2 linked regions of the Mus musculus genome follow. The protein of the gene in region 1 purifies or fractionates together with the protein of each later gene. This does not show direct contact. Links are inferred from orthologs where the notes say so. Each region holds a gene or a part of one and is shown on either strand. Other genes may lie near its edges.

The links. The genes of interacting proteins can lie anywhere in the genome.
Region 2: the proteins of Psma7 (region 1) and Psmg3 purify together in Homo sapiens (affinity purification with mass spectrometry; 3 studies listed by BioGRID and IntAct, with this or other methods). This does not show direct contact. The link is inferred for Mus musculus from reciprocal best matches to the Homo sapiens genes PSMA7 and PSMG3.

The regions. Positions count from the first base shown.
Region 1 is NC_000068.7:180,033,638-180,040,904, forward strand, and holds the end of Psma7 (proteasome subunit alpha type-7), read right to left. Parts: intron 5,843-7,267; coding exon 5,716-5,842; intron 5,213-5,715; coding exon 5,088-5,212; intron 4,551-5,087; coding exon 4,428-4,550; intron 3,866-4,427; coding exon 3,746-3,865; intron 3,364-3,745; coding exon 3,301-3,363; intron 2,937-3,300; coding exon 2,844-2,936; 3' UTR 2,730-2,843; downstream 1-2,729. Other genes in the region: Lsm14b (protein LSM14 homolog B), read left to right, coding at 49-220.
Region 2 is NC_000071.6:139,822,617-139,830,249, forward strand, and holds Psmg3 (proteasome assembly chaperone 3), read right to left. Parts: upstream 4,279-7,633; 5' UTR 4,106-4,278; intron 3,749-4,105; 5' UTR 3,728-3,748; coding exon 3,512-3,727; intron 1,458-3,511; coding exon 1,305-1,457; 3' UTR 997-1,304; downstream 1-996. UniProt on the Homo sapiens protein: Chaperone protein which promotes assembly of the 20S proteasome. May cooperate with PSMG1-PSMG2 heterodimers to orchestrate the correct assembly of proteasomes.

The sequences.
Region 1 (7,267 bases):
TGTTGCCCACCATAGTCAGATCTTAACATATCTCATCTCTTGGTTTAGTTCTAGGCGGACAACATGGGCTGAAGAGAGAAAGCTGAACACTGAGACTTTTGGAGTGTCAGGGAGGTTCCTTCGTGGCCGCAGTTCACGTGGTGGATTCCGGGGAGGCAGAGGAAATGGGACAACACGGCGCAACCCCACTTCCCACCGAGCTGGGACTGGCCGGGTATAAGGGTGCAGTACAAGTGAGTGGGGAACTTTCTGTATCCCTGGATAGGAGGGAGGTGGGGGAGCAATCCTTCCTGCTCACAGAAACTGCACCATAGTATGGATCGTGACCCTTAGAATACCACAGGCAGATCCTAGGCACAGTGAGCACCATAACCAGGCTCCTGCTTTGTCTGAATAGAAGGGCCAAGACCATGGCCATGACTCAGTCATTTGTGAGCTGAGGGCTTGTACAGTGTGGTCTATAAGTGGCCACTGAGTCAGGGCCTGTTAGCTCATTATTGTGGAACAATCTGGCTGGGACCATCCCTGTGCAGTGCCATGTGGTATGCGGAGGAGGGGCCAGGACTTCCTGCCTCTATTGCCTCTGGGCACCAAGGGGAGAGGGGCTAGACGGCTGCATAAAAGGTGCCTGTTGGACACACTCACTTCCTGTCCTCACAGGGTCCAGCAGAGGCAGAGGTGCTGCCCTGAAGATAAGGACAGAAGGCAACACTACAGTCAGCAGGAGAAGTGAACCTTGTGTACCAGCCTGGAAACCCTCATACTGCTACTTAGTTTGGACTTAACCTAACTTGGACATGGTCTGAGATTTAGAACCACTTGGTTTTGGGGAAGTATTTGTAGGTGACCTCTGAAGGTTTCTCGACCTACATTTCCTTCTTGGTTGCACACAGCCTAATAGTAAGGTTTTGGTATTTTGCAAAAAGGTTTCTATAGGCAAAGGCTCAATCCTCACTTTGTAACTTTTTTTTTTTTAATGACCGCTTTGACTCTTAAAATGGAACCAAATTTTATTTGGCACATGTGGTGTCCAAATGTGTCTCTGCAACCCATCTGGCCCCTGGTGCTGCTGGCCTGGTACCCCAACTGCTAAAAGTGGGAAGTCTCAGGAGCCAGGCAGGGCCAGCACAGGGTGAGCCAGTCACACGGGGTGGGAGGGCCAGGGCAGGGACAGGGTGGGGGGGTGTTCCATGGATCATGTTGTGTAATGAACCAGTGATGTTCAGTGCTGGGGGCTAACGGGATGAGTGAAGTAGTGGGAAGGGCGTGAGTGTCACGTAGAGCCTGCCTGCCTTCCACAGGCACTGAGGCATAGTGTTGAAACCCAAGGCAAGCTCGTGTGGTGTGGTGTGTCCAACCTTCCTGTCTGCTTCAGCCTCTGGCTGCACTTAAGTGTTCTCATTCACTTTTAAATGAGCCAGTCTTTTTTTTTTTTTCTTTTTTTTAAGGTCACTGGCCTTATTTCCTTGATTGTAAATAGTTATGTGTTTATTTTAAAGGTGGTGGAGGGAGGGCGGGGACATAAATTTGTTGCATGAGTAAATGTGTCAGATCTTCTCTATAAGCATGCATCCTCTGACTGACAGGGCACTGTTGAAAACAAGCACCTTGATAACCCAAACCCTTCAGAAAGCCACAGCGCTTCAGTGCTGTGCTGATGAAGTCACGGCGTAAAATAGCCACAGAGCTTTGGTTCTGTACTGATGAAGCCACAGCGTGAAAGCTTGGCTTTATCTTTGTGTAGGACTTCAGAGCTGAGAGTAGAACATAGCACTGGGGCCACTGTTGGGGAAATGCAAACTAAATAAACATTGGACTCTTCAAGTGCTGCCTCTGTCCGTCACCTGTGTCTTGCCTGTCGAAAGCACATGCAGGTTAGGATTCAGAGGTACTTACGGGGAAATATATGGTGCACCAGAAAAGTGACCTGGTGGCCACAGACAAGTAGACAGGGCGGTTCTTGCTGGGATGAACACTCCAGTCCTCCAGAGAGATGCATGGTCCTCAGGCTGAAGGAGCCTGAGGGCGGGAGGCCATCAGCCTTGGGACCATTGACAAGAATGTATGTGCTAGGTGGAAGACACCTCCTAAAGCAGAAGACTGAACGGGGTTTCTTTCTGTGAGTCAGTGTTAAATCAGTGTTGTGCTAGGCGCTAAGTTTGACCCAAGTTTGTTTTTACAAAACTTGTAAACCAAGGAAGGGGCAGGGCAAGGGGAAAAGCTGTAAGCTAAAGCAGGTGGCAGGAAAAACTGGTCTAGAAGCCAAGAGGAAGTACATTCTAGCCAAGGGAAAAAAAGGTAGCCTCATAGTTAACGTAGAAAATGTGGCAAACAGGAAAATGGATTGAGCACTGAGCTGTTTGGGGTGGTATGGGAGATGGAGGTTTTCCCTCCAGGTTTGTGTATGTGTGTATATCACTGAGTATACATCTATCATACTTGTGAACTGGAGCCACTTGTAAGCTCTCTGATGTGAGTGCTGGGAACCAAACACAAGCCCTTTGGAAGAGCACCACCAAGTGCCCCGTGCTAGCCTCACAGGCTAGGCTTTCTACCACTGAAACCTGCAGGCTTTCCTTACCAAAAGTCTAAAAGGAAATGTATTGAGAACCCAGGACCTGCTACACCTTCAGTGTACGTCCTGAGTGGATGGAGCGAGCACTCATGCAAGAAAGGCACCAAGATCCCACCTCAACCACAGCTGCACCCAAATGACGACAGGTTCTCATCACAGAGTTAAAAAATGTAGTAGTTTATTGAACTCGGACAAATGGCCACAAGGCCCACAGCACCGAGGCTTGCCCGGATAGAGGCTCAAAGCTGCTCTGACCAGTGCCTCTTCATCAAGATGCTTTCTTTTGCTTCTTCTTTTCATTTTCTTCTTTCTCCTTCTCAATTTCAGCAACATACTTCTCAATTTCTTCAGGATTTAGAATCTGCTCCACAAGAAGCATCACGGTTAATCTCTCCACACAGGGCACAAACAGCGCCACAGAGTAGGGAGGCTACTTTTTAACGGCCCTATGGAGTGCTTCTGGGAGCAAGGCATGACCTCGAAGCAGAGGGAGTCAGATGGGAGTGGGAATGTTGTTAAGCAAGGGCCAGGAGCTAATAGGAAACAGCCCTGTGAGAAAGTAAACTTCAGAGGCAAATATCACAGGGCCTGGGGAGGTTTTTCCCCAAGTCATTTCAGTCCTGTAAGCTAAGAAAATGACACCAATAAAGCAAAACTCAATGTCAGTACACACCCATAACTGGGTATGCAAGGTTCAGAGCCCTTCCACCCAAAAGTAGGCTTACCTTGAGCGGCTGATCCCGCCTCATGACGGCAAGTTCGATGTTTTTGCCACCTGACTGGACCACCTTGAAGAAGGCAAAGAGTCAAGGTGTGTCTGGCCTCAAAGATGGAACATCTATTGTCCCAAATGCTGCCTAGTCATGCCTACTCAAGCAAGGTGCCCCTGTAACCTCCAGCCTGCACAGCAATGGCCCCTGGGGCTCAAGGCCTGTATTTCCAGCTCTGTTCACTCTGGCTTAGCCTACATGCACTCCAACTCCACAGTTCAGCATCACAAGCCTCTGGAAGAGACCCCAGTCACCTGAGCCGGGCATTCTACAGCACAGCACTGTTTCTCATGCTAACCCAACTGACCAAGCTGTATAAAGAACCCATCAACCATGCCACTGTCACCCAGCAGGCCTGCCCTGTTAGGGGTGGGGGGTGGGGTCTCCTGAGTACACTCACCTCTAACAGTGCCTTGATCACAAGTTTGATGGTCAGATCATCTGTTTCAATGGCATCATCTGTGTAGTTCTTCTCCAGAAATTCACGCACTGACTTGGCGCCCCGGCCTATGGCATTGGCCTAAAACACATGTGTGTCTTAGTAGAGCCAGTCTAAGTAGCTGGCTAGAGGCTGCCTCCCTCCTTCATGGTCTACAGTTGGCTCTCCAGAAGTGAAGGCACAGACCCAAGTCCTACTTTTTTTTTTTTTTTGAAAAGGCTATTATCACCTGGTGTTGATCCTTGCCAACAATGAAAGTTTTTTTTTTTGTTGTTTTTTTGGAGACAGGGTTTCTCTGTATAGCCCTGGCTGTCCTGGAGCTCACTTTGTAGACCAGGCTGGCCTCAAGAAATCCGCCTGCCTCTGCCTCCCGAGTGCTGGGATTAAAGGCGTGCGCCACCGCACCCGGTGAAAGTTCTTTATTATCAAGAGCCACTTAGGGAGATTTCACTCTAGGTCCTCTCACAATCCCATTCCCCATTGATACAATGCCAAATGGGAATGTAGAATGTTCCGATTTCATACACACGACATGGAACAAACAGGCAGTGCGTGTAGAACTAAGCTCAGAGATTATCTGTTTGCTGTTGCTAGCTCAGTACCTTCCAATAGCCTAAAGTTCCACTGTTTTGAAACGACTTACCTTCCAAGCATGGTATGTGCCCGAGGGGTCAGTCTGATAGAGTCTGGGAGTGCCATCAAAGTCAAAACCCACAATTAGGGCCGAGATACCAAATGGCCTGCGCCCATTGCTCTGTGTATAACGCTGAAAGGAAAAAAAAAGTGAGCACCATCAACCACAAAAGTTCATGCCAGACAAGTGGTTAGTGCCGAGAGAAAAGGAAGCCACCTGCAATTCAGATGGATGGAGAACAGCCTTTAGTGCACCCCTTCCTCTTAGACACACCCAAAGATTTATTTATGTGCGTTGTGTCTTGTGTCAGGAGGAGGGATTAGATCTCTCACAAATGGAGTTAGAGACTGCTTGTAAGCTACTTTGTGAGTGCTGGGAATTGAACCTGGGTCCTCAGAGCAGCTAATGTCCTTAACTGCTGAGATTATTGGAAGTCATCTCAACACAGGCTGACATGTTCCAGCTATAAGCTGTCTCTAAAGTTTGAGTGTCTTACTACAGAGTTGGGGGTGCCTTTCAGCACCCTCTCAACCAGAGTAGCAAGACAAATACTCGTACTCCCCTCCAGAGAACAGAGTCAGGATGAATCCAAGCCAGAAGAGACAACAGACTGGCAAGATGAAGTCACACAGCACCCTGATGGCGGACAGTGCCTAAGCAAGCACCTACCTGCTTCAGACTCGCAATGTAGCGGGTGATGTACTCCACAGTCACTGGGTCCTCCACTGTCAGCCGGTGGCTCTGGCACTCTACCCGGGCTCTGTTGATGACTATCCTTGCATCAGCGGTGAGACCTGAGACAAAGGTTCCTGTCAGGGCAGCTCATGGATACGACTAAGGTCAAGAACGTCAAGCCACATCCCAAAGCACACCAGCTTCTGCAAGCTGTTCCAAGAAGCAAGTACACGAACAACTGTGGATGCAGTCATGCTGGCACTCAGTTTTGTTTAGGGAATTGCGACTTCTTAGGTTGGATCTGTTGAGGATGATACCTGACATCTCTAGTGCAAGTGAGGCTCAGCAAGGAGGCTCCTGTCATCCCTCCAACCACAGGTGCTCCTGGACCGGAGAGTCAGGAACTGTTGCTGATACAGACATGACTAACAGCAGCAGTCAGGTCCAAGAATCCCCAGGAGAGATCCCAAGCTACAACTGCTGTTCTTGCTCTGTAGTCCAGGCTAGCCTGGAACTCAGCGGCTCATATCCACTTCATTTACCCAGTTTATACGTGTCACAACTGCCCATCCCCTCCAACCTGTCACCAATGCTCTGCTTGCCACCCTGGTTCAACTTATACCTGCAAAGGCCATACAGACGTTATCGTCCAAGGCGCAGATTTTTCGTACTGTTCTTTCATCTTGTAGCTTGGCCACTGATTTTTTTTCCACACCAAGAACAACAATGTCCTTTCCTCGAACACCAACCTTAAATGAAAATACATGTCACTTTTAAGAATCGTATGAGGACAGCTATTATTTTCTGACACAGCAGAATGGAGTGGGTTAGGCACATACAGATAGGCTTGGTGCAGGAGCCCTGCAGAAAAGTAAATCCACCCATATCTGGTCTACCGCTTGACAAACTGTACCACAATGAGGATCCAGATCCGCTCCTGAGGACCAGGACAAGTTATCAGGACCTGAATGCCAATTTCATGCCCTCAAAGCACTGAGGCGGTTACAACTGTATCACTGAGACCCTGAGTAGAAGCCTGAGGTGACTAAACCCCAGGCCACAATCCTGCCTGTTCACACTGCATGCACATAGTACTGGCAGGACCCGGTATGCTACAAAGTGAAGCACAATCCACTGTTTAAGACACCCCCACCCCCCTGCCCATGGCTGCGATTGTAGAAGGGAGGACGTGGTCCCTGTATAGACAGGGGAAAATGGGCCAGGGGATGTGGAATGGCATTTGCCCAGCACCAAAATCAAAATCAAACCAAAAAATTTTGTAGGCTATTTGGTCATACTGTTGATGGTGTTGTTTACTAAAAGACAAAACATTTTTTTAGCTGTGGTTCAGCCTCAGCTCACACCTTTAGCCCAAGGACTTTCTGCTTGAATATTGTAAACGAGATTAAATAAAGTCAAGAGGCAGGACATGCAACCAGCTGGCCAGAAGTGAAGATTATTTAAAAACAAAAACAAAAACCATAGAGTAAGAAGAAATCATGAGGATGGATAGAGACAAAGGAAGCAGAAAGGAGGGACATTCAGTTTGAAGGTTTTTTGAGTCAGCATGAGAAGGGGCAGGATTCCTGGTGGGACACTGACTGAGGAAGGTCAGCTGGGCTCTTCTCTGCCTCTAGGAGCCAGTAGGCTTTCACTCCAGTATCTGGTTCCTGAGTCTTCATTGGTAAAATCCAGCGATTGAAATTTTGTTAAAACAACAACAAAACCCCACAATAAACCCAGGAAACCTCACTTAACCCTTCAATCAAGAGAGGAACAGAAACAAATGTAGCAATCCCGGAAAGGGTGGTTGGGTAGAGGGCACCGCCCCTTGCCAGCTCCCTCTGATGTGGAACAGGATTCCCGGGCCCAGACCTCCAGATACCAGGAACCTCCCACAAGGCTCACCAAGGGCCTGGAGTGATTTCACACGTTCCTTCTGTGTTGATTCCTGTGACCTACAGGATCCAAAGCTAGCTGGATGCAGCAGGCAGCTGCCAGTTGGGAGCACTGGAGACAGGCACCCCAGATTCTAGAACATTCCTACTGAATGCGTGGAGCCCAGAGGTCTATACACTGGTGTCTTCCTCAACCCTTCTCCAACGTCAAAAGCAGTTTTACTTTTAAGTATGTTGTGTCTGTGCCTCTGAGTACAGCTGCCCATGGAGGCCAGA
Region 2 (7,633 bases), on another chromosome or scaffold:
GTGGTTGGGAGCTGCGGTAGGAACAGGGCCTTCAGAGGCTCTGGGATACTCCTGCTCTAGGCAGTGACACCTTCCAGAAGTCTGGCAGACACTGGGCATGTGGTAAGCAGAGAAAAGGTGGCCATGCAGGTGGATTCCGATGGATGGGAAATCCGTGGGGTGTTGGGAGGCAAGAGACCAAAGGGTGATCCCGAGTCAAGTCTGCAGTCCCTACTCCCATCCCAGGTGACCTGGTTTCAGCCTACAGCCCTCCTCATTTATCCCTGGAGAGGTCCCAAGCTTCCCAAGGGGAACAGGACTCAGTACACAGCAGGCATCGACCTGCACGAGGATCAAGACTTGAGGCCAGCTAGTCCTGACTTAACCTAAGTGGAAAGTGGCCAGCCAAGCTTACTGGTCATCCCTGGACCTAGAGAAAGGTTCTCTACCCGGCCTTTCTGTGGTCTCCTCTCCACTGGTGACCATGAGAATGTCAGAGCAGATTCTCCATTGGAATCAGAAATTCCCACTCAACTGTGATCAGGGGCCACCCCCATCCCTGTGGCCGGAGACCCCAGGTCTCAGGATGCCACTCTTCAGAGGGATGGGCACCAACAGGGCAACTCGGAACAAATGCCAGCCTAATGTCGGAACCCCTCCTCCTCTCTGAGCTCAGGGTCACCCTTTGCCTCTGCCTGCCACCCGCATCCCAGGCTCTCCCACCCAGCTCATCCTTAGGGACCCACCAGCATGGCCACCTTTGCTCTGCTTGCTGCATGTCCAGTGTCTGCATGTCTGTCTCTCACCATATTCTGTAACTTGAGGCTTGGTCCATGCCCCCAGCACGGGAGGGACGGCACCCAATGCTGGCTGAATGCACACCTAGGATCTACCTCACACCCAGCAACCACGTACTGTACTTTTGCCGAACAGGTTTCCCTCCCACCTCAGGTGTCCTGAAGTGAACCTAGAACATATGCCCATGATGTCTCAGGATCACTGAGAAGGCCAGCCAAGTACTTTAGATTTATTTTTAATAAAAAAATCTTCCCACAAGTGCTCCTGCACACCCAGGATTACTTGTCCTCATAACCGGCCGCTCATTTCCACTCAGTGGATGCAGCTGCTGCAGCCCAGCCCCGCTCCAGTGCCCAAGGCAGAACACAGTAGCCACGCAGGGAGAGTCCCTGAGACTTGAGTGCTGTTTCCAGCTTTGAGGACTAAAGGCCCTGGAATGAGCTCTCTCCTGGCGCTGGAAAGATGGGTCTCAAAGGCCCCGCTCACCGAGCGTCCATACGTCTGTGTCTGGCACTGCTAACGGCAGGTCACCACACCTGGCACAGCCGGATCACTTCCTTCAATGCCTTGAGCCTCTCCATGCTCTTGTCTTTCACAGCCATGGCCAGCAGGACGGCTCTGTTTCCTGCTTCTTGCGACACAAATGCTACCAGGTTCTTTGCAAAGACATGGATGAGAGGCTGGGAGGGAGGGAGAGGAAGACAGGGTTGTGACTGCAGGAAACCTCATCTGTTTTTATTTATTTATTTTGGTTTTTTGAGACAGGGTTTCTCTGTGTAGCCCTGGCTGTCCTGGAACTCACTTTGTAGAGCGGGCTGGCCTCGAACTCAGAAATCTACCTGCCTCTGCCTCTCAAGTGCTGGGATTAAAGGCGTGCGCCACCATGCCTGGCTCTGTTTTGTTTTTTTTTTTTTTTTTTAAAGACAGGTTGTCATTTTTTGTAGTATCATGGAACTCATTTAGCCCAGGTTGGCCTTGAACTCATGGCAATCCTCCTACCTCAGCCTCCTGAGAGCTGGGATTTCTGGACATGTGCTATCATATCCAGTTTCATTTCTTTGTCCTTTTTTTTTTTTTTTGAGTGTGAGCATGTGCACGTCTGAGGCGGCCTGGGGACAACCTCAGGAATCATCCTGAACACCAGCCGTCTACTCTGGGACAGCATCTCTTCTTGACCTGTAAGTCACTAATTAGGCCCAACTGCCTGCCTAACCAGCAAGCCCCGGGATCCTCCTGTCCCCGCCCTCGCCGCAGGGTTTCTTCGTTTTCCCTTTGGGGGACAGGGTCTCTCCAAGCAGCCCTTGCTAGAACTTGGTATGTAGATGAAGCTGGCCGCACACTTGCACAGACCGGCCTGAGTCAGCCCCCAGCGCTGGGAGGAAAGGTCTGCACCACGCTGAGCCCCACACCCAGCTTTCTTGTGAGTTCTGAGGACTCTCAGGCTGTGCTTGCAAGCACTGTATGAACTGAGCCACTTCCTCAGTCTCCATTGCTGAGAGCTACTTAGTCATTCATTCATTTGGTTTTGTTGAGACAAGAGCTTACTATGTACAGCTGTATTAATTGCTGTTGAGATGAGAGCTCACTACGTAGCCCTGTCTGATCTGGAACTTGCCATGGAGATTAGGCCTACAATCATCTCCCAAGTGCCAAGATTAAACATGAGCACATGGCTAATTAGGCTCTACTAAAATTATAAATGACTATTATAACATTTTATATAGATATCTTTATGTATCTATATAGAATATAATAAACATATCATATATAATATTATATATATTATATTTATGATATATATACACATATACACACACATATAAAAGAATACAACTTGTAGCAGTCAGCTTTCTCTGTCCACTGTGGGATTGTGAGACTGTACTCAGACTATCAGGCTTGCATACCCTTTAGCCCCTGAGCCAACTCAATGCTCCCTGCCTTTCTAACAGAGGGTGTCATGTAGCCCAAGCAAGCCTTATGGGAATGAAACTGAACCCTGATTCTCCTGATCCCACCTCCCAAGTGCTGGGACTACAGCAGCCAGCATGTCACCATAACCAGTAGTTTGCTTTATTTCTTCTCCTTCTTTTTTGCTTATGCAGGGAGAATAAGGTCTATCCCTTAGCTGGCCTCAGCTCAGTCTGATCACAAACTTGTAGCAATTTTTCTGCCGCAGCCTCCCCCTGAAAGGATTACAGGTGTGTATAGTCACACTGGGGACAAACACTGTCTGCTCCTAATGCTTTCCTTAAGAGACCTAGGCCAGCGTCTCACGCTTTCCCCAAACCCCCTAAGCTAGGACAACAGTGATTCAGAGCACCACGTGGACTGCATAAAGCAGACAGAGGGAACTGCCCAGGAGGCAGTATTAAGACTTTTCCTTGGTACCTCTGCCTACCGTCTCTCTGGTTACTCCTAATCAAGACAGACAGGCCTGCAAAGGGAACTGTTGTCAAGACTCAAGAAGCAGACATAAACATAGAGCCATCAGGACAGGGTCAAACTGAGGAAATGGCTATGTCATAAAAATCAATCCCTCCCCGAGTGTTGAGTAAAATGCTAACACGCTGGGAAAAGCATCACTCGAGCCAGCCAGGACACCCTCAGTCCAGAATGGCCCTGGAAAATGCTCACTGCGCATAGTTTGGGTACGTATGGAGTTGTGCCTATCAGGCACCCCATATCCCTATGGACAAATGACAGCAGAAAAAAAGATGCTCTCAACTCCCATTACCTCGTCCTGCCCGAGGAGGACTCTCGTGGTGAGCACTGGCTTGCTGATGTCATTGGCCACATTGCTGGGCTCCAAGGACACTAGCGTACCCATCTTCCCGAACTGGGTCACCACAACTAGGATGTGGCTGCTGAAGGCCGTGCAGACCACCTGGGTGGGCACACCGCACACCACTTCTGTCTTCTGTTTAGATACTACCAGTGGTTTGTCTTCCATGGTCCCGTTCTTCAGCGGAGGCTTTAGTTTTAAAAGAAAAGAAAACAAGGGATGGAGCAATCAGAATCGGACACAACCTGGAGCTCGACAGCAGAAATGACAAGCGGCCCATTCCAAGCTGCACGTGGTGGCACATGTCTGCCATCCCAGGACAGGGGACGCTGAGGCTGGAGAAGTCCCAGTTCGAGGCCAGCCTGAGCTACATGGGGGAGACCCTGTTATCAATACCACGCCCCAACCCAAAAGCGAGTGCGCGCATGCTCGTGCGGGCTTTTGTGAGCGTCTTTGTCCCGCCGCACTGCTTGCGATGACCGCCATCCCCGCGACTAGCTGTCCCACTTCCAGATTATCAGGGATGAGGAAAACGGCCGAGCTCACCGGGGAGCCCCGACGGCGCAGGACTGGGGATGGCTGGATCACTACTGACAGCAGTTGGGACCGAAACCCTCGGCAACCAGCGCTCACCCCACCAGCAGCGCCAGAAAGCGGTTTCAGGGAGCAACTAAGCCAGCAATGGTTTAGCAGAAGTCCCGGCGAGAACTTCCGGTTCCTGTCCGTTGGGCCTAAGGTCCGTAGGCCACGGCAGTCCCAGGGCCTAAGGTTCCGTGCTGCAAAGGAGCCGTCCAGGCTTCGTGTTAAAGGGACAGTGTGCCTCTCCGAGCTCCAGGATCTCGGTGGCGGTGCTTGACCACCTGTGTAGGGAGCTTTGTGTCCTAGCTGTGGACACAAAATAATATTTGTTTTAATATTATTAATATTTTAATATTTGTTTTCACTTGGTGTGTACCTGGCTTTGGCTAAGGCACACTTAATATACAGTAACTTGTTTCGTCTGTTTGTCTGTCAGTTTTGCCTCTTTTAGTCACGGTATCTCCGTGTAGCCCTAGTTGTCCTGGAACTCACTATGTCGACCAGGCTGGCCTCAAACTCACATATCCTCCCGAGTTCTAGGATTATTTCCTCCTCCTCCTCCTCCTCCTCCTCCTCCTCCTCCTCCTCCTCCTCCTCCTCCTCCTCCTCCTCCTCCTTCTTTTCCTCTTCTCCTCCTCCCCCTCCTCTTCTGTTTTTTGAGACAGGGTCACAAGTACCCTAGGTTGATCAAGGAAAATATTGAACTCCTGATTCTCCTTCCAAGTGCAGGGATGACAGGAACACACCCCACACATGGTTTGCTGGTGTGGGGATAACATCCAGGAGTTTATGTATGCTACGCAAGCATTCACAAACTGAGCCAAATCCCAACCATCATTTTTTTCTCCTTCCCTCTTTCTTTCATTTTTTTCCTTTTTTCTTGTGGGTATCGAGGAGCAAGTCTCATTTACACTAATTATTGTTCATCTTGCAGAATACTTAAAAGAATTAAACAGTATTTGTTTGTTTGTTTATTTATTTGCATGAGTATTTTTGCCTTCCTGTATATGGTGTCATGTGCATGCAGTACCCACAGAGGCCAGAAGAGGGTGTTGTGTTTCCTAGATTTGGAGTTACAGACAGTTATGTGCTGCCATGTAGGTGATGGGAACTGAACCTGGTCCTCAGCAAGAGCAACAAGTGGTGCTCTTAATGGTGACCTGTTAAATCAAAGCACTTTTTTCTTAAAATTATAGACTGTAAATTGAGCATATCCCCCTTCCCTCTATCTTCCCTTTTCTCCCCTCCTTCCTGTTTGTTTTCTTAAATGTACACCACACACACACACACACACACACACACACACACACACACACACACGGTTCAGTGTGACTATGTAAAATCTAGGCCCCACCAGTCAGAGAAAACATATGGTGTCTGTCTTTCTGAGACTGGCATAATTTGCTTAACACGATTATCTTCGGTTTCATCTACTTTCAAGAATAACATAAACTCACTCTTTTGTGTGTGGGTTCCTGTGTGTGTGTGTGTGTGTGTGTGTGTGTGTATACATATGTATGAAGGTCAGAGGTCAGTTTCCTCAGGCCCCTTCTACCCTTCTTCTTTCTTTTGTTCTTTTCTCTCCTTCTCCCCACTCTCTCTTATTTCCTTTCTTTAGGCAGAATCACACTGTGTAGCCTCGGTTGGTCTGGAACTCATTACGTAGACCAGGCTGGTCTCAAACTCAGAGATTCACTTGCCTCTGCTTGGGCGAAAGGTGTGGCTGCCACCATGCCCGTTATACCTTGTTTCTTGAGCCAGGGCCTAGAGCTTACTAATTAGGATAGGCTGGCTGTCGGCAAGGCTGGGGATCAGGTCTAGGTTTGTTCCCTTTCCCTAGTGCTGGGATTGTAGGCTGTACCAGACCTCCTGGATTTTCAATATGGCCTCTATTTTGTTTGTTTTGGGTTTTTGGTTCTCTCTCTCTCTCTCTCTCTCTCTCTCTCTCTCTCTCTCTCTCTGTGTGTGTGTGTGTGTGTGTGTGTGTGTGTGTGCTTGCAAGGCCAGATCTTAACTGACTGAGCCATCTCCCCAGACCCATCTCATTCTTCTTCATGGCTGAATCCCCACTGTGTATACACTACATATTTTCCTTACCCATTCCTTTGTAGTATGCCTAGATCATTTAATCTCTGCAGCTCCCTAAGACAGAAACACCGTGAGTGCCCTTTGAAAATAAAATGCTTTGACCCCACCCTCACCTTCCTGGACATTCAACTTGATGCCTGGCCCGGCTCCCTGACTCTTGTTGAGACCCAAAGGATGCTGGAACCTGGGTCACTGACCCTTATCAGGTCCCAGCTAATGCCTGGAACCCCTGATCCTCACTGAGGCTCAGGGGAAAGTAGGAGGAAGCCCTGTCCTGCAGGGTGAGTCTTGCACCCAAACTAGAAAACCCCACCATGTCTCCCTGAGAGAAGTTTCACTGACTGGGAAAGACTTGGGAAGATACTGGGAGAAACTGCAGCCTGGAGCCCCTTCCCCAGAGGTTGATAGTCCTGGAAACTCCATCCCAGAAGCCTTTCTGTGCCTGCTGCTGACGGTTCTGAAAAAAGCCACACTTCTGCTTACACACTAAAGTCCTTAGACAGCTCAAGCATTTTTCCTCAATAAATGTATCCTCTCTTTCCTTGAGTTAATGACTCCTTATCCAAGCTCCATTGAGTCGTGTGAAGCTCGCTTCTTCCAAAATGATTTCTTGGTGGTGTAAAAGAAAAGACATGCATACAAAGCATGATGGGAGTAGACAGAGATCGGGAGGAAACGAGTTTCCGAGCGTTCTCACAGTTGGCACGTGAAGAGGGAAGATTAGGGTTTCGTGCCACTAATACTCAAGAAGCAAGGAGCGTATAGATTTCTCAGCAAAGTCTTTTTGTCGGTTCTAAATTTAAACACCCGTCCGCCCACACACAGCAAAAGCAAATTGCTGGCGTGTTGCTTTGCCTGGAGAAATCTTGAAAAGCTTTTGATGCACCTTGGTATGCCTTCTCTCTCTGTGGCAGAGGTCCAGGAACTCTGCCTCCCCAGCACACGGAAGCCCTGGACACATGCTGATCACCTCTGCAGAAGGGAGGCTGGAGAAGAAAGTGGACAGCGTTCTGGTCACATTATAAAGTAGCTCTGAGGGGTCTCCGCTTTGGACTGGTTTGGATCTTGAGCTATTGATGATAAAGAAGAAGTCTGAAGGAAAACGGAGTTTTTTTTTTTTTTTTTGTTTTTTTGTTTTGTTTTGTTTTGTTTTTAAAGGGTGTGTTGGGCTGAGCTGCCTTGTTTCAGGAAAAGGACTTCCCCATGGTTTAACCTGGTGAGTGGTAGAGTTCACACATTTAGGGCTCAGTGGGAAAAGCCCTTACTCTGCAATCTTGAAGACCTGAGTTCAAATCCCCAGAACCCATGTAAAAGCCTGGTGAGGTAATGTGTGTTTGGAATCCTGGTGCTTCTCAGGAATAATGGAAGGTGCAGACGGGAAAACCCGTAAAAGTCCGAGGGGCGGAT